Linked DNA regions of Styela clava. The protein of the gene in region 1 binds, or shares a complex with, the protein of each later gene. Links are inferred from orthologs where the notes say so. Each region holds a gene or a part of one and is shown on either strand. Other genes may lie near its edges.

Evidence for each region.
Region 2: the proteins of mediator of RNA polymerase II transcription subunit 24-like (region 1) and mediator of RNA polymerase II transcription subunit 16-like are in contact, whole or in part, in a cryo-EM structure (PDB 7EMF), measured with the Homo sapiens proteins. The link is inferred for Styela clava from reciprocal best matches to the Homo sapiens genes MED24 and MED16. Residues at the interface, in NP_055630.2 of Homo sapiens: Ile539, Leu540, Asn541, His544, Pro545, Glu593, Arg629, Met630, Leu631, Gly632, Leu633, Asp634, Glu635, Asp676, Gln679, Gln680, Thr681, Ala682, Pro702, Pro703, Lys704, Arg705, Pro706, Ile707, Lys708, Glu709, His737, Met738, Gly739, Gly740; in NP_005472.2 of Homo sapiens: His29, Cys30, Pro31, Ser32, Arg52, Asp54, Asp55, Gln56, Glu82, Asp102, Val126, Glu127, Gly128, Asp129, Pro130, Val184, Ser185, Leu187, Thr203, Glu204, Ser205, Cys207, Arg208, Leu209, Arg210, Gly211, Arg212, Asp232, Gly233, Ser234.

What each region holds. Positions count from the first base shown.
Region 1 is NC_135252.1:17,332,972-17,342,963, reverse strand, and holds mediator of RNA polymerase II transcription subunit 24-like, read right to left. Parts: upstream 4,937-9,992; 5' UTR 4,837-4,936; intron 3,653-4,836; 5' UTR 3,642-3,652; coding exon 576-3,641; 3' UTR 521-575; downstream 1-520. Other genes in the region: delta-1-pyrroline-5-carboxylate dehydrogenase, mitochondrial-like, read left to right, coding at 5,060-5,109, 6,478-6,661, 7,213-7,416, 9,990-9,992. UniProt on the Homo sapiens protein: Component of the Mediator complex, a coactivator involved in the regulated transcription of nearly all RNA polymerase II-dependent genes.
Region 2 is NC_135264.1:6,222,411-6,233,137, forward strand, and holds the start of mediator of RNA polymerase II transcription subunit 16-like, read left to right. Parts: upstream 1-6,734; 5' UTR 6,735-6,812; coding exon 6,813-6,951; intron 6,952-7,617; coding exon 7,618-7,725; intron 7,726-8,287; coding exon 8,288-8,442; intron 8,443-9,161; coding exon 9,162-9,262; intron 9,263-9,341; coding exon 9,342-9,475; intron 9,476-9,556; coding exon 9,557-9,666; intron 9,667-9,789; coding exon 9,790-9,900; intron 9,901-10,727. UniProt on the Homo sapiens protein: Component of the Mediator complex, a coactivator involved in the regulated transcription of nearly all RNA polymerase II-dependent genes.

The DNA.
Region 1 (9,992 bases):
CGCTGGTCGGTTACAGCTTGCTGCACAATTAAGTCCATGCATCTGAAACCAATAACTGGCAAACAAGAATATTGATCGGAGATCGAAGACTTATCGATCGAAACTGCGGTTTCGATTCATGAATCTATAGTGACACCGCGTGTCTCATCACTAATTAATTAATAACTCGCTAATTATACGACATAATTCATCCAAAATCAACAGGCTTCTGGTCCGAGATATGATAAATGCATATGCAAAATTTGGAGCAGATTCAACCACGACTTCGTGAGATATCGCGTGCATCTAACAGACAAATACCTATCAACATACTTGCCGATCTAGAGATCGATAAGTAACAATGCTAGATGCAAGATCCCGGACATGGACTGGTAAACGGATGGGAGGTCATGGTCCAACCGGCTTTCTCTCCCCGGGATAAATATGTAAAATCTATTCAAATTGGGATGACATGTCAAATATTTTAAACTGCGCTGAGATTTAGGGCTTGAAACCAGATATACTCTCGAAACACAAGCCATTTATATTCTTTGATATCATATATATTTTAAAGAGCATGTTCCAACATGATCGACTTATTCGGGAAGAACCATTTGACAAATTGCCTTTGCAGCCACTTTTCTGCTGAAAGTGTGGCCAAGGTCAGATACAGATAACACAAAATTAAAACTATCAAATTCTTTATCAAACTTGGAAATTTTGAAAGTGCCATCACTAGCCATAGCAGCCAGTTCTGTGACCATGGTTAATGGCATCAGCTGCAAAACAGCTTGAGAAACCAATTCGCCACACAGTGATGCCAGATATACGAAGTAAACTGCAAAGTCAATATGAGGACCGGGTTGTCGTTCAGCAAGCGACATATTCATAATATCTAATGCGTAACTAAGTGCTCTCAATACTGGTTCTCTTACATGAGAATGCTTAGACTGAGCTGTGGCAGAATTTTCGCGGCCAAGTATAGATGAAAACGCACTTGCTGCCAAATCATGCTCTGCAGTCGAACTGAAAAGTCTTCGCAACTTAGTGGGTCCGACTTCATCTTGGAAATGTACTTGATGAGAAGCCAATGACTCTTTTCCAGACATTAGAAGTTGATGCGATAGCTTTTCTTTTGCTGTTTTTTGTGAAAGGCAAGCTTTTTGTTGTAAAGATATATTATGAAGAACTATAGCAAGACAGCTAACAGCAAGCTGTGCTAAAACATTTCCTGCAGGAGCAGAGAGAATCATGTGATCAGCTTCATCAGTCAAATAGTGCGGAATTTCGTGTCTTAACAAGCAAATGACAAAACTCTCAACATCTAACAAAAATATTCCACCCACAACAGTAGCTGTTCGTTCAACAATATCTTTGCGAGTTTGTGACAACAACTGTGAAACAAGTTGATGGCAAAACCATTTGGCACCGGACCGCTTCAAAACAGCTTCAAGTCGACAGAGCATATTTCTTCCTATCCAGCCTGTCTCTCTGCACTCTGTTATTAAATCGGAAAGAACATCAGCTGGAAATTTCACAGGCTCGTTATCCTGTGCACCAGGTAGGTTTGAATTTGGCATCAACACTTCCAATATACCTTTAAACATGTTTGTACGTTTTGCTGCATGTATTTCTTGACCGGGTGGCGATATAAATCCATGCGTTGAAAGTTTTTCAACGACTTCTTTCAATTCCTTCCAGAATAGTTTTGGAACGGTTGAAGCATATTTGGCTACTTCAACAAGACAAGTCAGTCTGATAGACAATGATAATATATTACATATGACATCACAGGCACCCAACACATCTGCTTTGCTCACAACTTTGTACTGCCATGCCTTTACCAATTCGATGAATGCTCTTGGCAAATTGGTGCACATCTCATGCCATTTTTTTATACTGCACGATTGTTCTTGAGTTCGTTCCCTTTTGTTTTGTAACAATTCAAGATACATTTTAATACGAGAGTCATCAACATCAAGTTCGCTTTTACTATTTCTCAATATTTGACCTCTATCATCAGGCCAGTAAACAGATATCCAGTTGTATAGAAAGTATTTACTAGAATCCATGTCTGCCATAGATCCTAAAACAACGTTTTTTCCATACTGTTCAGCAATTTGGCAGACTAGAAAATGCGTAAAATCAAAAAGAAGACATCTCATTTGTGCACTTTTACCGCCTTCGGCAGTGCTGGATTTCACAACATCATTAAACAATATTAATTTTTTAGCAAACTTTTGTACATTGTGTGTGATTGAGCCACTTGCCAAGATAATATTAAAGTTACTTGACATTTGACTCAATGTAGCAAGCAAATTTTCTTGTTTAGAAATATAATCAGCAGAAGTGTCTATGACTGAAAGTAACTGACGGGCAGTTGCCTCGTATTTTATCAATTTGCTCGGTTCTACTGCGTGTGTTGGATGCTGTGATGAAACTTTGGCCATGCTGAGTCTTCGTGTTTTCAGCTCTGTTGCAGCATCTTCTTTTAATATGCCGAAAGATAGGCAACGATCAATGAGCCAACTTAGGCAATCACAATTTCCAGTAATTTGGTCTAACACATCTAGAAGACTGTCATATTGCAATAATTCTGAAAAAGCACTTGCCGTCGCATCTTCAAAATCTGTTTCTAAAGACAGCTTTTTAAAATCTGAACCATTTCCTGACACAATAGCAGATTTAAGTCTTTTAAGATGTTGGGGAAGTGAAAGAAAAAGTACAGATGACCATTTGTGTTTCCTATCTCCATCAATGCTGCCTAAGAATCCCATCATACAGGCTCGTATCAAGTCCAGACACAGTTCTGAAACATTGAGATCACAAAGTTGAGAGAGCAACAGCAATTGTTGAATTAAAGTATCAGGATCAGTCATTTTATTCCATTCACCTTCTAGGAGGATAAACATATTCACCAACATGCCATGATGAGATTCATTTCCTTGTATTTTTGGCAAACAGAATACTGCAGATGTTTTTGTATTACAGCGAGCAAGTTGAGATACACTATTACATGATACATTAACATCATTTTGCATGTTATGTCCAACAGCAGCATTTTTAATTACAGCGAGATCAGTTTCAATATGGCTCCAAACACTGCTCTCCTCAAATCTTGCAATAGTCAGAAGAGATGCAGTTCTCGGTAATGTAGTTAAGGAATGCAAAGTTGAGCAGTTTTTCTGAATTTGCAAATTCTCAGCTTCAACTCCAGAAGTTCCTGAACCCCTTTTTAAATATTGTTCAATATTTCTCAAAAGCCATTGCAAAATCACAAGCAAAGCTTTGCACAGGCCCATGCTGTCTTCTAGAATTTGTCCCTTGTTTAGTTTTTCTATATATTTCATGAGTATATTCAAAGTATAATCCATGCTAGCAGTGTTTTGAAGATCCTCATGTTTAGAAATGGCAGTCAATATAGCTGCATAAGACAAAGTCCCCGATTTGAGTCCGTAATTAAAATAACTAAGAAGAACTGTATTAGGTGTGCTTCCGATGAATGCTTGAGAGAAGAGAACATCAGCCATATGAAACATGTCAACAACATTCCCTGGCTGTAGTAATTTTCTCATTGTTGAAGTCCATTTCTGTTCACTCCATCTTTCTTTCCAAGCATTAAGAACTACATTTTTGAAAACGGTGTGAACTGACACCTGCATAATTTTTTGACCTGCAAACAAATCAAATAATTAAGTACATATGTATAAACTGAAGTCTTCTATTCTATTCGAGTTTTGTAAAACACTAACTTCTTTATCTCTTTTTTTTTTTTTTTTTAAAGGTCCACGTTGTGGATTCATAACAGTTTTGTAAAAATAAATAAATGATGAAAAAATAATAATCATAGAACATAGTTACATATAATAAACAAATATATTCGTAAACATCATCCAGTATTATCCAGCAATTCATATTATTCCATTGTTGATTCCAGATAAAGTTTCCCATGTTTATCAGTAAATATACATTAATTTATATGTTTTTAATTTATAGCAGAAAAATAAAAATTTATACAATTAGTCATAGAATCTTACAAATTATGTCTAGTTCTTTTATAAAACTAGGATTATGTCTAAGTTGTTCTATATTTCTCCTTGCTAAAAGGGATTTTCTAATTCTTGTTATGACACTATTTACACTTGGATTAACATTTTCAAAAATAACTGCATTACTTTCTAACCATATTTTATATCTTGCAGTACACAGAAGAAGTATGACTGCATTACGTTCAATTAATGATAAATGTGAAAAACACTGATTATTTAGTTCTAGTAAAATACATGTTTTATAAATATTTTTTAACTCGCAATTGTTTATTTTTAATACAACTGAAAAAACTTTTTTATCTCACTAGGCTATAATCCATCTTAATTAAAACCACTGGACGGTACGACCAACATTCATAACTCGTAATATTTTGTGATAATCCTCCAAAGTACAGATGGGAACAAAAATCCTGTGCACCATCATGCGGAATAATATTTTTGACATTTTTTCTAAAATTGGAATACACGACAAATGATTCAAATGTATGTAATTTTTAAACCAAGCCAATTGGTTCAATTTTTTGTTGGTGGCTGTAAAATATCTTTATAAGTTTCCATGTCAAATAATTAGTACCTCCGGCATTGGTCCAAGAAAATCTGTCCGAGCCAGTGAGCCAGTTTTTTTTTCTCTCGTTACGCATTTAAGTTGCACCAAATTTTTTTAAAAGGAAAAAGTACGAGAAAAACAAAAGTTCTAAACAAAACAAAATAGACACTTACTTTGAATAAAAACTACCACTCTGTAGCAAAAAACAGCAGGATAATTCATTGCTACTACAATCAAATTATTAATAGATTCCTAACCCACCTAAAAATATTCCTGTGGCCCATAAAGGAGGGGGAGGCCCAGTTGAAGCAGATCCGATAAATGGGCGTTCCGCGTTTCTATTATTTGATTGGCTGCGAAAAGCCAAACCTACGGACTGTCAACACAGCGGATTTCCTTGCGGATTGACCGAATCTGCATTTGAGTGTAGCAGTTCGCGGTGCAACACGTTTTGTTTAAACTGTACGGCATTCAGAATAGCGCAATGTTGTCTTCTGGAAGAAGGATAATATTTACCGGGTTAAAGCAACACAGGTGCGTAATTTTTAATATCAATACATATACTTTGAGGCTTCCAAAAATTTGCTATAAAGAGAGAAGTGTTCCAGTGCTTCACTCCTGCACTCAGAGCGGGTCTCGTGTAGTTTCGTACTCGTACCTAACGTACTTTTAGTAGGCGTAGCATAACAATTTTTTGACATGCCAATCCTGACCCTCACCTGACTACGCCATCCGAAAATTACATCACTACAACGTCACAATCACGTCATAGAGCTTGCCAAATACTCGTACGATCGCCCGAAATAGCATCGGTGCCGACGATAAAGAACTGACTAACGTCAGCGATCTCTCTCCTATCAGGATCGTTGCGACGAGAGAAATGGCTGTTCGATTTCGGGTTCTCGTCTGCGCGTCTTGGATGACAGTTCGCATAGTTTGAAGAGCTCTATTACGTCACTGTGACGTCGTAGTGACGTAATTTTTGGATGGTGTGGTCAGGTGGGGGTTACGATTAACACATGAGAAAATTGTTATGCTACGCCTACTAGAAGTACGTTAGGTACGAAACTACATGAGACCCTAACCTGACTACGCCATCCAAAAATTACGTCACTGCGACGTCAAAATCACATCATAGAGCTTGCCAAATACTCGTACGATTGCCCGAAATGGCATCGGCGCCGACGATAGAGAACTGACTAACGTTAGCAATGTCTCTCCTATCGGGATCGTTGCGACTAGAAAACGAGAGAAATTGCTGTTCGATTTCGGGTTCTTGTTTGCGTGTCTTGGATGATAGTTTGCATAGTTTGAAGGACTCTATTACGGTTGATAGTCAGATAGTTACGGTAGCCACTGATACCGTACTTCATACAGTTGCTAAACCTGAAGGACTGGCATTGTGTACTCAATTTATTACATTCTGGTAAAAGCTGTTAGGTATCGGCTTTTTTGGTACCTGTACTTACTGAATTAAGCTGTTGCATCAACTTTTCTATATACAGATATTCACCGAAAGATATAAAAAATGTTATCCCATGGTCTTTTTCATGCTATTTCCCACTGTTTGTGCTTTAGCAAGTTGGTCAATTTCTTTGTACGAGTTCCTAAATTTAAATTATGTGCAGATAGATTAGATATCTCTGTATCTGCAGATTTTTTGTTGTTACAGAACAATTCCTGAGTTCTCATAGCTGCTGGTCTTTCTCCCGGAATTTATAACCAAACATGTTTTACTGTTTATTTCCAATTGATACTGATATAATTGAGTGTATAGTTCAATCCTTAAATAATGTTTGTACAGTAGTAGGGCAATACTTGACATTTTACTTTTTAATACAGCAATGGTCAATACAAAATATTTGCTAAGCATTTTATTCAAAATCTTTTCCTTTTTGAAAGGTTACAAATAACTGCGAGAAGTCTATCAGTTCAGAATGAACCGATTTATGACTTTACTCCTGGATCAAAAGAAAGACAAGATGTTTTGGATGCTTTGAAATTAGTTGAATCTCGTGTTGAAGACATACCTATTGTTATTGGCGGTGAACATGTTAAAACAAACGACATTCATTATCAAGTCTCGGTAAGTTCGAATTGCACCAACTGTTAGGAATACACTTGCCATCGCACTTCCCGTTACTTTACATGAGTTGAATCCTGTAGGGGATGATTATATGTGAGAGGATTGCTAGACTCACCTCAAGGTGGTTCATGTTCCAACCATCCACTCGCTCAAGTTCATAATAATAGTTCATAAATATCTGGCTAACTAATTCCATACCCGATATAGACTGGTAACTGGATGAGAGGCTGTGGTATGCCTTATGATTAAGTCCGTGAAATCCTAACCTATCCTTCTGGTTTGCACTGTAAAGAAAGCAGGGAAAAGATAACGAAGATAAAATCTATTGTTATGTCTGATTTTCACTTTGATGGGATTATTCATTATAAACTGTGCACACTTTTGTTTAATTTTTTTTATTTATGTTCAGCGAATCAGCGTTAGGTTATGTAAATGTGTTGGATACTTTCAGAATACATTTGCTTTATTTTCATCGCTATTTCATATTTGACATAATTTTTTTAATATCTAGATATACCATTATACCATATTTTGTCTATGTTTTTCTACAGCCGTATAACCACAAGCAAAAGATAGCAAAGTTTTGTTATGCTTCTTCTGACCTCATAAACAAAGCTATTGAAAACTGTCTTTCTGTTCGGGCTGAATGGGAAAGAAAACCAGTTGAAGATAGGGTTCAAATATTTTTGAAAGCAGCAGATAAAATTGCTGGAGAAAAAAGAGCAGAAGTGTTGGCTACTACAATGGCGGGACAGGTAACATGATTTATATTCAACAGATTTTCATTAGTCATAGAATTTGATCTTTGTGAGCAGGGATGGCCAATTCGAATAAAGTATTCGAATGTATTCGAATATCTCGTCATTCGAATATCGGAATTCAAGTTCATAAGAATATCGGATATTTGTGTGACGTCACTCATTTTCGACGCCGTTTTCAAGATGTTTCCGTTGAATGAAAACATTCTCGATAGAAAACTTGCGCGTGATTGTTTTCATCACTCATCAGCGTAACGTGTTATTTAGGCCCGTAAACGCCTTTACGATTGTGTTATTTTCTCTGAAACGAAAATTTTCCACAAATTTGTTCCACGATAACGATAACATTTATTTTATTTTTGTATGCGCACGGAATTGTGAATCTGGTAAATACGTTCATCGGCGGCGAGTTTCTAAAGACAACGCAACTTTTTGATTGAAAAGCGGCAATTTAAAATACTGAAAATAAAACCGTGAACAACATAAGTTTTATTGAGGCCCGGGAAAATTTAAAAAACGCTTTTCTAGGCAGTGAAAATCGCAAAATTCGTGTGCCTCTGGCACACATTATGTTTGGTCGGCGTTTAGAAACATATCGTCACTAATTGAGGGCGGGATTTGCCTGATTATCCATTTAAATTGCCGTCGAATATTTTCGTGTTAACACGATACAAGGTTTGAATGAAACGCGACTTTTTCCCTGGTTGTGAGGATGTATATAATATAATTAATCTAAAGTATATTCAATCAATTTTATTGTGATGAAATAAATTTTACTCTGAGATATTTTACTCTGAGCATTTCGATCGAGCGGAGTCACTGTTAACAAGTACATCTGAATATTTGCCGAATTCGCAAAATACGGATAAAAACAATACTTAATCGGACAGTTTACCTCACGTTTTTATTTTTATGGCCGTGGTTTGCAACGGTATATAAGAGTGGTTAGGATTTTATTTTGTCGACGCAACCGCAGGATAAATTGAAGACAATTAAATTAATAAGAGCAAGACATTTTAAATATGCCCGTGTCGGTCACGAATTCATCACTTTGCACAACAGAAAAATATATATTCGTTGTTATATTATTTGTTGTAAAAGTCGACTCTTCTAACAGGTGGCATAATCGCGGCGATGAATATGTATTTCTAATTTACTGCTAAACTTTATATGTATATTCATTGTATGAAATGAATTATTCTCTACACTTAACATGAATTTATATAAATATTTGAGATTTTTCTAACGGCGATAACGAGTTGGCAAGATTGCAAAAATACATATTAAAATTAAATACATCAGGCAGTTTATCTCGTAATTTTCGGTCACAGATTGCCGTGGACCGAATAGTAATGTTTTTTTTTTTTGACGTAAGAAGAAGCAACCGCGAGTTATGTTGGACACATTAAATTAATATATAAAGATATTTTAGAATCTCGTAGTTGTCATGGATTGAATATTTTACCTAACAGAATGATCATTATACGCTGACAAGACGGCTCTTTTAACAAGTGCGGAATCGCGGTGGGTCTTACAGGCGGCAATGGGAATTTCCGATTTCGAAAATCCTGGCTGCGCGCTGGCAGTGGTGGTCATCTATTCTCTACTAATTTATTTCCAACTCCAAACACAACTATATGTTACACATAATAACAATATGGTTCACATAAATTTATATACAAATATACTGGTAGGTAGTAGAATACTCAAGGCTTAAATATTAGAATTTTTAAAGGCATGATGGATTTTCGATTGTTGTTGCCTGTATTGCCAATAAATTTAATTACTCTCAGAAAATATACACAATTATCTGAATGCAAGTAGTATTTTTGTCAATAGACTCGACTATTATCGTAATATCATGATACCAATGATAGAAAGCATCAGACAACTCCTTGGCTATCTTTTCATATGGTCATTTGTACAAAGTGAATAATTTTAATAAACTGACTGTGTCACAAGTTGCTATTATTTTTTATTAATAGCTATAAACTATCAATTACTTTGTGTACATATACTGTTGGTCTGTGGCTTCATTCTGATATTTCTATTGATGCTTATTTCCTGATTTAGTGGGTTTTAATAAACTAAAACAAAAATGTGTTATTTTCGATTTTAGAATGTATTCGGAATTCCAGATTCGAAAACATTATTTTAGAATGTATTCGGAATAGTTTAGTATTCGGAAATGGCCATCCCTGTTTGTGAGCGAAGTTATGGGGAGATACTGAAAGATATAAATAAATTGTAAAATCATAGATAAATACCAATTGACACGAGACTTAGTAAAGCAGTTCATGCCTATACAATCAGGGAACAGCTTTGAAGTAGTGAATCCCAGATAACTGAAGTTTTTGTCAAAAAACTTGGGTATAAAGGTTTTTTGGTCCGATAAGTACACTAACAATAAATGGGTGAGAGATCACAGCCAACAGAGGTTATCCCTTGGAAATGTATAAACGAAGACACAAATACCGACTAATGTCAATTAATTAATTAACATAACCCAAATTCACTTTTATATTTGATTATAGATTAGCTTACTTTTTATTTATGAATTCATTTTCCAGGGT
Region 2 (10,727 bases), on another chromosome or scaffold:
TGATTCCCACTACTGCTTCCACATTGTCGCCTTCAATATATGTAAAGACTTCTTAATTTTCCATCAGTTTAGCAGTAGATGTAAAGTGTCAGAAAGTCCAAGCATGCGAATGGACCGTTGTCACGACGGTCAATCGTTCGTCGGTGGAAGAAAAATAAACATCAGGAACGTCATCGCACTCAAAAAACAAATTTCATAGAGGCCACAAAAATTAAAATAAATAAAATATACGATGCTCAACCGCTGAAAATTTCAAAGCAATTGGTCCAGTAGTTGACGAGTAAAGCGATATTTGCATAATAAGAAGAAGTGAAAAATACTAACATGGTGATCAACAGAATAGCAAACCGATGCTTAGGTACATTTCGTGTCCAAAAATAACATACGATCCATGGGTTCATTTCGTGTACCACGTATTCGTACAAGAATATTGGGTTTTTTCATAAAATGTAAGTTTCATGTAGTGTTTTATTATGTTCTCCGCTCCGCACTAGGTTTTTAAGATCTTATATTGTCTTGATTCTAGATGCTGCTGCCGTATCCGCTATTTATATTCATTGCTATAGAAGACTTGCACGGGTCACGTGACTTTGTTACTGGACGACAATAAAACAAAAACGTCCATTTGGCTCCTGTCAGTTGCAAGTCGGATTATACGTTTCCGTTTTGTTTGGCTGTTGAAAATGGTTATTTCGTATTGTTCCGTTGGCTGTACGCATAGTATAGAAAACGAAATAGATCTTCAGTTATATTCCACTGTTTTCAAAAAAGATCCGGAACGTCGCGCAATGTGAATATCATCTGTTGGCAGGACTGCTTGGTGTCAAGTCCAGAAGCCATCTCACTTGTGTTTCACTGTTTGCGGACAGCACTTCGTTGATGGTGAGTCATCATGTGCCGTTATCAAATTTTTAAATATTCATAAGCTCCCTCATTTCAATGGAAAGCAGATAACAAACTACTGTTATTGGTAGGTCTAGGCGTAGGCCTACTTGCAGACGTGACTCGTGTAAGGTATTAATCAATAATTGCCATAAGGTTTTGTTTTCCTAGTTAGCAGGTAATTTATCAGTAAGTGTAAAAAGTTGAATAGATAACTAAAGTTTAACGCCAGTGCTAATAAAAAAAATAACCAGAATTCAATTGAATTCTCAATCTAAGTATACGCTCGCCACCGCATCTCTGATCCCCCAGGGAGTTTCACTGGTTCCAATCCCATGCGGGGATAGTTATGTGCGAGGGGATTGCAGCTCTCTTCCCACTGAGGGTTCACACGACCGTTGGTCGATTACGACATCCCCCGCCATCAAGTATAGGATTCTAAAACAAATAACTGGCTAACTAATCCCGACATAGAATGGTAATCGTACGATGTTGCACCTTGCAATCTGTCCCCAACCACAGATAAATTCTGTCCTGAAAACTACCCATATTGGTAGGCATAGTTGCGTTTTAAATTGAAAGAAATTTTCATTAATTGTCAGAAGGTGTTGTCTGATTGTTTTGTTAGTTAGCAGGTAATTTATTACTGATCAGATACACAAACTTGGCACTGTCAAATGATGATTAGTGTTGATTTATTTTCAGGAAAAAGGGAAGATAACCCATTATCAGCTGCTTATATGTCCCATCGATATTGGAATTTTTGCCATCCCCAGAGAGGAAGAGAATAGTTAGAAAAAGGGGGATTTTAAAGAAAGGCAAAAGGCAGGACCATTTCAACAAATTCTGTTAACTTGTATGCGTTGCAATATTAATTTGCAGTTGTTTGCATAAACATTTAATGTGTCTTTCGACTAGACCTATACAAAGCCGCCTACACCCCTTTTAACTAGAACCATAATACTGTAAAATATTTGATAGAAATTACCCCCGAGGCATCATATCTGCCATTTGAAAGGGCTGTGGAGTCAGATACATTTTTTACTCTAAATTATGGAATGTTACTTCCAGGTTATCTTATCCTTGCTTATAGATATCTTGAGGTTAGTGACTCCAACCAATGACATTAAACCACATGATAGGCAACTCTGACGTCACTCTATAAGACTACATGCGAAAGATTGTATTTCATGATACGCTCCAATGCACATATTTCTCGTCGCCTTTCGCGACGGTTTTCCGCTTGCTTTTGCTACTCGGCGTCTTCTTTACGTGTAGTACCTGCCTTTTTGCGCCTGTAACGAAAGAAAATAATCTCTATATCTGAGAAGTTTTGCTCATTTGGAAAGCTGGAATGGCAGACAAGCTGTAAAGAGTAATTCTGAACATCATAGACGTTTTTTTTATCAGAGAATATTACAAACGCGATAGCGTAAAGATTTGTGTGAAACATTTTGCAGATAATGACAAAGTTCAAAGTTAGTAATTTTAATGTTTGCGCTTAAACATTGAAATTTCATTTAAAGAGGGTGTCATACAAAACAGCAAAACTGTTTTTACTTCTCTTAAAGGTGCTGTGATACAATTCCATAACACAAAGTTTGCACCTATCGAACTTGTTTTAGTAGGTGAATTTATTAGACATATAACATATTCAGTTAATCGTAGGTAACATTACTGGTACATAATGCCTCGTAGATAGGTTTGTGTCTAAATTTAGGAATTTAGCTCATAGCCCGCTAATTAATATTATCTTCTATGCAGGAGATTGCAGGGCTGATTCAACTTGCAGCCTTACCAATCACCTGACGATGCTCAATTAGTTTGTCTCGAGCAAGTCTTCTTGAAAGACTTGTGTGAATGGAGACTACCTATATGTTTTGCCTTCCTCCGATTTTAGAAGACAAATTCAATCTGAGGAATTTTGCATATATATAATTCTCATTGATTGTTGGCTGTTTATAATTCCTATTAAATGTGAATTCTGATTATATCAAAGAGTTCAACATTTTTTACGTAATTTACGGGCACTTTTTTCTTGTCAATACTCCAAGCTGAGGTAATAAGCAAGACAATACATTCATGTCATCTGAAAGCAAAATATACACACTAATTAAAAGTTTGACACATTGAGATAATACATCATGACAGAAAATACAAAGATACAGTATGTATGACCATCACATGGTAATTAAAATTAAAAAAAAAATTAAGAGAGGCTGTGGAGTATGAAAAGTTGAAGACAAAGAAAAGAACAAAAGTTCATAGCTCATGAACTCTCAATTCTGCCTCCATTGCTTTGTGAAGGCCAATATATTCCGAGTGGCTGAATTGGTTTACCTTTATGATAGCAACGGTTTTGTATTTAATATAGCGAGATTTTTTTTCAATTTAATTGAAGTGATATTATTTCCCAAAGGAATGCTTGAATCGTCTAGAATAGATCAGTGGTGTCAAACTCATGGGTTTCGAGAGCCGCATTGCATGTTGGAAATTGTAAAAAGGGCCGCAAACAGTTTTTGATAATGTATACTCGAGAGATATTTTTCAGATAGTTTTAGTTTGTGACATATATTGTGATGCAACTAATCAGTTGGATTAAGTTTTATTATTTTCTTTAATTTCAAATGCAATTACATATTATTATTTGCATTCAACTATTATTGCAAGTTACTGTATTTATTACAAAAAATCATAAAATTCCATGTACAACCATCAAAATCATTTTTGAACAAGCCTTGGTTAAGGAAAGAATAAAATATACACTAAAAATGACTTAATCTAAATATATGAACCTAAAATTAACAAAAATACTACAGTATAAACTCAATGTTTTTTTAATTACATTTGTCCTGACGTTTGGCATCTTCTTTGTGTCACCAGCATACTAAGGCCAGGCTGAAATGATTTTATAGTACCAACTCTAACTAACGAGGTCACATGATCATGGGTTAATCTGTATCTTTGCAAAAGTTTAATTAATTCCAGTAATGCAAAAAAGTTACTTTTATCATTTCATGTATGGATCAGTAAAAATAAAAATGACAGATTTTTTCGACAAGACATTTCACGCTACATTGCATGGCATAGGATTGCTTGAAATATTATTGATATTGATTTTTAGTAACTAAGTCGTTGTATATTTATATTAATATACAAACACATGGAAATTTTCTGTTCGGAGTTGGTCTTCGAATTTGTCATATTGACTGCTGAGCTTATTGTGTTTTTTCATTGTACTGATGGAAATATGACAAATTTAACAATGTGCTTCAGAATTTTGTGAAATGCAGAAATATTGCAACTCCCATTTTCTTCGAAAATGCCACCTTCTTCGTGTACTTTAATTTAATCACTCAAGTGTTTTATTCAGTATTCTTTTGCTAGCTTGATGTGTATTCTTAATTGAGTCAAAATGTGAACAAAAAAAAATTAACTTTCTAAAACTACTTTCAGTAAATTGTTTTCTGTGTGAATATTCAATTTCACTTTAAAAGGTTTGAAAATTCCAAAATACTATTACAATTATTGTTAAGCGTTCGAGGGCCGCACTGGAAGTTCTCTGGGGCCGCGAGTTTGACATCCCTGGTCTAGATTAAAGTTGTCTAAAATATATAACATTATTTTATCATGAATCATGATTATACCCTTTCCTGAATTTCTTCTATAGTACTACCAAAATTTGATGAACCAAATATAACACAGGTGTAGTCAGTGAACCGTAATCCTCATTTTTCAAAGCTGTTTTAAGTATGTCTGGCATGTTTTGTGCCTTTTTACAAAGGAGACCGCTTATGCAATCTGGAATTTTTAGTTATTTCCCTCAAGCCCTGCAGGATGTAGGGGCCATACACAACTTTACCGGAGGGTCAAATGTCTTTGCATTCCTCCATAGGTTGTTCTTCTATTGCAAACATTTATGGAGTATTCTAATCATATTTCTTGGAATCAAACTGTCACTGATATGTCGCCAGACTTCTGATATCTCCCCTTCAGCTACAGTTGTCCTGTGAATAAATAATAGGAAATTGAGGTTAGACGAATAGTTGAAAGTTTTGTTTTATGTCGGCCTAATTTCTTGATTGATATACTCACTATTATTGCTATTGCCTCTTGTGCTGCAGGAGTCTCACAATGCTTAGACAGGTCTGTCCACAACTTTCACATCTGTAGGAGAGGAGATGTATTAATTTTCGTTAAGAATAAATAAAGCAGTCTATATGATTCAGAATGGAAAAGCTAATAAACCCAATATCTTATGTTTTTTGTAAAAAATGTTTTACTGGATTTGGTATATAAACCAACTAATGAAGGGGTTTAGTCAGAAAATTATAAGCATTCGTGGCTCCAAATACTTGAGAGATCAGACTATACAATATAGACCGGTATGAGTGAAATTTTAGGTGAAGTTGTTAACCCGTTGATTCAATACGCAAATAAAAGTGAATGAGCAATAGTATGTTACAGCAATAAGTATATATCCTCACTGATTAAAAAAATCTAAATGGAGGTGCATGAACTATTTGAAACCATAAGGGGTAAGTAAATATGCAATTTCGGCAGATGGCCAACTACGTACCGTACTGAATTATAAACTTCGTAGTATTTGACAAAAGCTGGCTTTCCCGCATGTACTTAACAGTGCGATGCCCGGGTGTGATATACAACAATAGTATTTACCTTACTTTTTTCCGATTTCTTTTTACCTTCAATTTTCCACATATCATTAAAAACCACAACAATTGTCGAAGCAGGCTCGAACACCATTCGTGCTATGCCTTGAAAGCAACACACATCCGCTCGTTTTCGTCTCGTCAAGTATGTGCATTGGAGCGTGCTATCGAATACGATCTTCGGCCAAAAATGCCGGAGTTGCGCATCATGTTGTTTAATGTCATTGCTCCAACTGACCCATGCATGCCACACTGAAAATTCTCTTGTGTACCCATAAAATAAGGCTGTTGGAGCCTTCAGTCATTGAAAACAGTCGAATCTGAGCACGATGGATTTGTTTTCAGAAGCATGGACTTGGATGGTGGGGAATGGTCGTAACCGATCAGTGGTCATGTGAACCACCCTCGGTGGGAGTAGAGATACAATCCTCTCGCATCCTCTCTGTAATTGAAACCTGTGAAACTCTCAGGGTGATCAGAAATGCGGTGGCGAGCGTATTCCTAGATGGCGAATTCAATTGAATTCTGGTTATTTTTTGCATGACCACTGTTGTTAAACTTTAGTTATTTATTCAACCTTTCACACTTAGTAATAGATTACCTGCTAATTAGGGAAACAATACCCTATAGCAATTGATTATTAATTCCTTACTGTCTTACACAAGTTAAGTCTGCAACTGCAAGTAGGCCTACTAATAACAGTAGTTTGTCATCTGCTTTCCATTGAAATGAGGGAGCTTGTGAATATTTAAAGAAATTGATAACGACACACTATCACCCCATTATCACTCACCATCAACGAAGTGCTGTCCGCGAACAGTGAAACACATGTAAGATGGCTTCTGGACTTGACACCAAGCTTTTCTGCCAATGCAATAGGCAATCAGGCAACAGATGATATCCACATTGCGCGACGTTCCGGATCTTTTGAAATCAGTGGAATATAACTGAAGATCCATTTCGTTGTCTATACTATACGTACAGCCAACGGTACAATACGAAATAACCATTTTCAACAGCCAAACAAAACGGAAACGTATAATCCGACTTGCGACTGACAGGAGCCAAATGGACGTTTTTGTTTTATTGCCGTCCAGTAACAGAGTCACGTGACCTGTGCAAGTGGATTCCTAAAATTATATAGCGCTTTGTGCGGTGGGCTTAATCTAAGATCCTGGCCGACGGGGAATCCCCTTTCAATGTAGTCGTTTGCTCGCAGTCGTAGCCTAGCTTGTTATCTGTATAAACAACAAGAAAATGGAGCTTGTTTATCGGATTAGTTCAAATGCAAAGTCATCAGTTCAATCTCTCGGCCACTCCAGTAGTTCTAGTCCCATATCTGCAACATGGTCATGCAATAATCTTTTGGCATATCCATGGGAAAAAGTAGTCAAAGGTTGGTTTCTTTCTGCCATAATGAAGTTTGCTTGTTGCTTTCGTATCGTTTTAGTTTTTGAAAGTGTTCAAAACAATGTCAATTCAAAAATCAAAATTTAGAAGCCTTGAAAATAAATAGAGTTGAATTCCAACTTAGCTCTGTAGCTTGATGCCTGTAATAACTGAATGCAGTAATGAAAGCTTTTCAAAATATAGTAATATTTAACAAATAAATCAGTGGAGCCCATCATCTATTCAAATGTCAGTGGCTATTAAAACTCTCAAAAACCACTTATGATGTAATAATTTAGTTCCTACTAAGAAGAAACTAACATTATACAGTTATATGGATTACAAATGATGCAATTATGCAGTTTATGGCGAAATGAAAAAAATGTGTAAAATATAAATAAAAAAGTTTGTTGACATGCATCAACTTATTTTTACGACTCGCGAGTTATATTATGTGAACCGCTATGATGTGTAATTAGTGAGGAGTAGGGCTATATGGCTTTATGCCTCCTCTGGCATTGAATCTCCAGTGCTTTTAACAAAAAAACTGTTGTAATCACTTCACAAGAGCCAGAGCTTGTAGAACAAAGAACCGAATGCGGCTCAGAACACTCGGGTTGCCGATTGCTAATATATCTGTATATAGTATGCTAATGCCATAATCCATATTCAGGATACACAGAAAGATATGTCAGCATCATTGATCCAAATCAGCCATGGAATGTCCACACAATATCATTCGATAAAGCTTCTGTAAAAACTTTGCAATGGAATCAAACAGGTAAATTGAACATTTCAGCTATTATTAGATCGTCTAGATTTTGACCTTTTTTTCTATTCACATATAAATATACATCAACTGTAAACTTTAAAAAAATCAGTGTTTCAGTAGGGACGTTTGATAGACTGTGGTACCATCTGCAGTCAACTTTGTGAAAATGATTAGTGCTTGCTATTACACGTGATCAAGGATCAAGCGTGAATTTTGCTTATAATTTTATAATTAATTCTTATAATTTTGATGAGTCATCTTTGAGGTGTGTGCTAATGCAGCGGGATATCGTTAGGCTAGTCAGCTCGCTACCCTGATTTTTAACTCTTGTAAATACGTTTTCCATTGAACCTGATATTCAAGGACTTGTTAAAGTGCAGCAAAGGATATACTCATCTCATTGAAAGTAACAATCAAATTATGTCTTGTTTTATTTACATGTTCAATAAAATACAAAAAATGGTTACGTACCAAAAAAATAAACATACAGACACTTTCCAGACATTTTTGAGATACAGAAAGTTGGCATTTAATTCATTTTGAGCGTGTATATCTTTGTTTCTGTAACAAGGCAACAAGTTACTCTGCTCAACTTCAACTGGTTTTTGCAATGTATGGATTTCATCAAATCATCTGACAAATGTTTGGAAAGAAAAATCGACTTATGGATGCGACTTACAAGGGGAAGATATTTTGGCCTCATCATGGCTATCGAATGGACGAAAGGTACTTTGGCGTAGCTATCGTTATTTTTTGGAGCTGCCTAGCACACAGTTCAACTTTTAAATATTTTATCTTATATATTATAATCCTGAAACATGATCCCTTTTTCTAAAACAGACTTATATTAATTCAGAAGTTATTTGAATTAGTTTTCAGCTTCAGTCTTTATTATACAACTTCAATTTGATTGTGTTCAGACTTCAATTCAAAATTTGAGCAATAACTTAGGCTCAGCGGTGGGACGCATTATGAAAAGCGTCAGGAATACACTCGTCACCGCACCTCTGATTACCCTGCATGAGTTCGCAGGTTCGAATCACATGCGGGAATAGGTATGTGCGAGAGAATTGCTGGACACTCGCCTCGTAGGCTGGTACACGTAACCACTGGTCTGTTTCGCATCCTCCATCATCAAGTCCGTGCTCCTGAAAACAAATACCTGGCTAACTAATTTCATACCCGACATTGTAATTCTGGACTGCAGAAAGCATTTATTTGAGTGAAGTTGTGAAATTTCTCACAATTCAAATATATCTTTTCTGTCAATGATATTAGATTTCAAATATTTAGATTTTGATCTCGTTTTTTTTATATGATATATAAACCAGATTATTTAGTAATGTGTGATATTGATGTTAAGAAATTCTATGTAGAGTAATAAAAGTGATAAAGAAGATAACAGAATCTTTCTCTATTATTTTATTTATATTCGCATGCTTTAGGTTGTGCTTCACGTGGACAAGTTGGACAATCCCAAAGAAAAAATATCGAGAGCTCATCACCGACCATCGCTTGCACAACTTGGTGGTCAACCAATGGAAGGGTGAGTTCTTGAAATATTACTTGTAAGTATGTATAAACTGAAATTCTTGTACTAAATGTAACTAAAATAATTTTTTTAGGTATATTTCTGTTACTGGGTCTGGACTTGTAGTCGTAAAATGTATTACTGTTACACAAGATGATGCACCAATAGTAGCGAAAGCGCAGCTGAGCAACACCGAAAATTTCATGTTGGCGGATATTGTATATTCAAGTAAATATGAGCATTCTTATCTACTCTATTTTCTTCTTTAATGTTTTTTGTGTGTTTTGATTTTTGATAATCTTTATGTAGATCAGGGAAATATTATCGTCATGGCAACTGATTGTGATGTCAACAACCCAATAAAATTTTGGACAATTGAGCTGCGCTACAACAATGACACAAACAAATTATCGCTTGAAGTAAGTTTTGTTCATGTGTTCTGTTGAGTTCTGCGAAACAAAATTGATGGTGAATTAAGTGAAAAATTTGATTCGTATTAACCCATGTATGGCAAAGTTCAACATTTTGATTTTTTAACCCAGGTTGATGTACTTCCCAATATTACTCTAAAATGTGTCGAAGATTCTGCTGGCAAATACAACTGTATAACTCACGCTCGATTTGTAACTGGAACGAGTACTGAATGTGTTGTGGTTAGTACAATTTAAAATTCCATTATTAATTTTAAAAAAGTATGAAATTTCAAATGCAGATATTGGTGAAAATAATATTCATTTGGTGCTATGATTGACGACATATATATGCATTTTCTATAAATATGGCTGCATATTATGAAAACTTGTTACTGTAGACCTAAGCTGGTTATAAAACATCACTCAAAACCAATTAAACTTAAGTTTGCATTTGTTTGAGATCACAAGCTAGTCATTGAAATACAGATATGTTAATGCATAAATTTTCTATATTCTGCATTATGCAATTATGTCATGGATCAGGGGTGTGCAACCTTTCTTAAAGGAGGGCCAGATAGAAATAACTCGATGAAACTGCGGCCGCACCTTTATTTAACATCTGTTTTCTAGTAGTTGCAGCACAAAAATTTTGGGTATTTATCTTATGATATGCATTGTTCGCTTTGCACAAGCTAGCTGTTAGGGTATTGTAAAGTCATGGGCGTAGATAATACATTGAACTCAAGTAGAGGGATTGGAACTACTGATTTAGAAACTCGTTTCGCGGGTCGCACAAAAATTCAAAAATTCCCACTTCTCCTTGGGCTGTACGATTTTTCCTTGGGGGCCGCATTTGGCCCGCCAGCTGCAGGTTGCTCAACCCTGCCTTAAATGTAACAGTTTGACTCAAACTTATTATATCGGTCAGAGACCGAAGACTTATTGTTCGAAAGATAGGGGATCCCCCAAAACAGAAACTGCGGTTTCAATTCGAAAAATTCTGCAAACCCGAACTGGATTGTTTTGAATAGTTTTCAGCCAATATCAAAAATGTAGGAACAATAGCC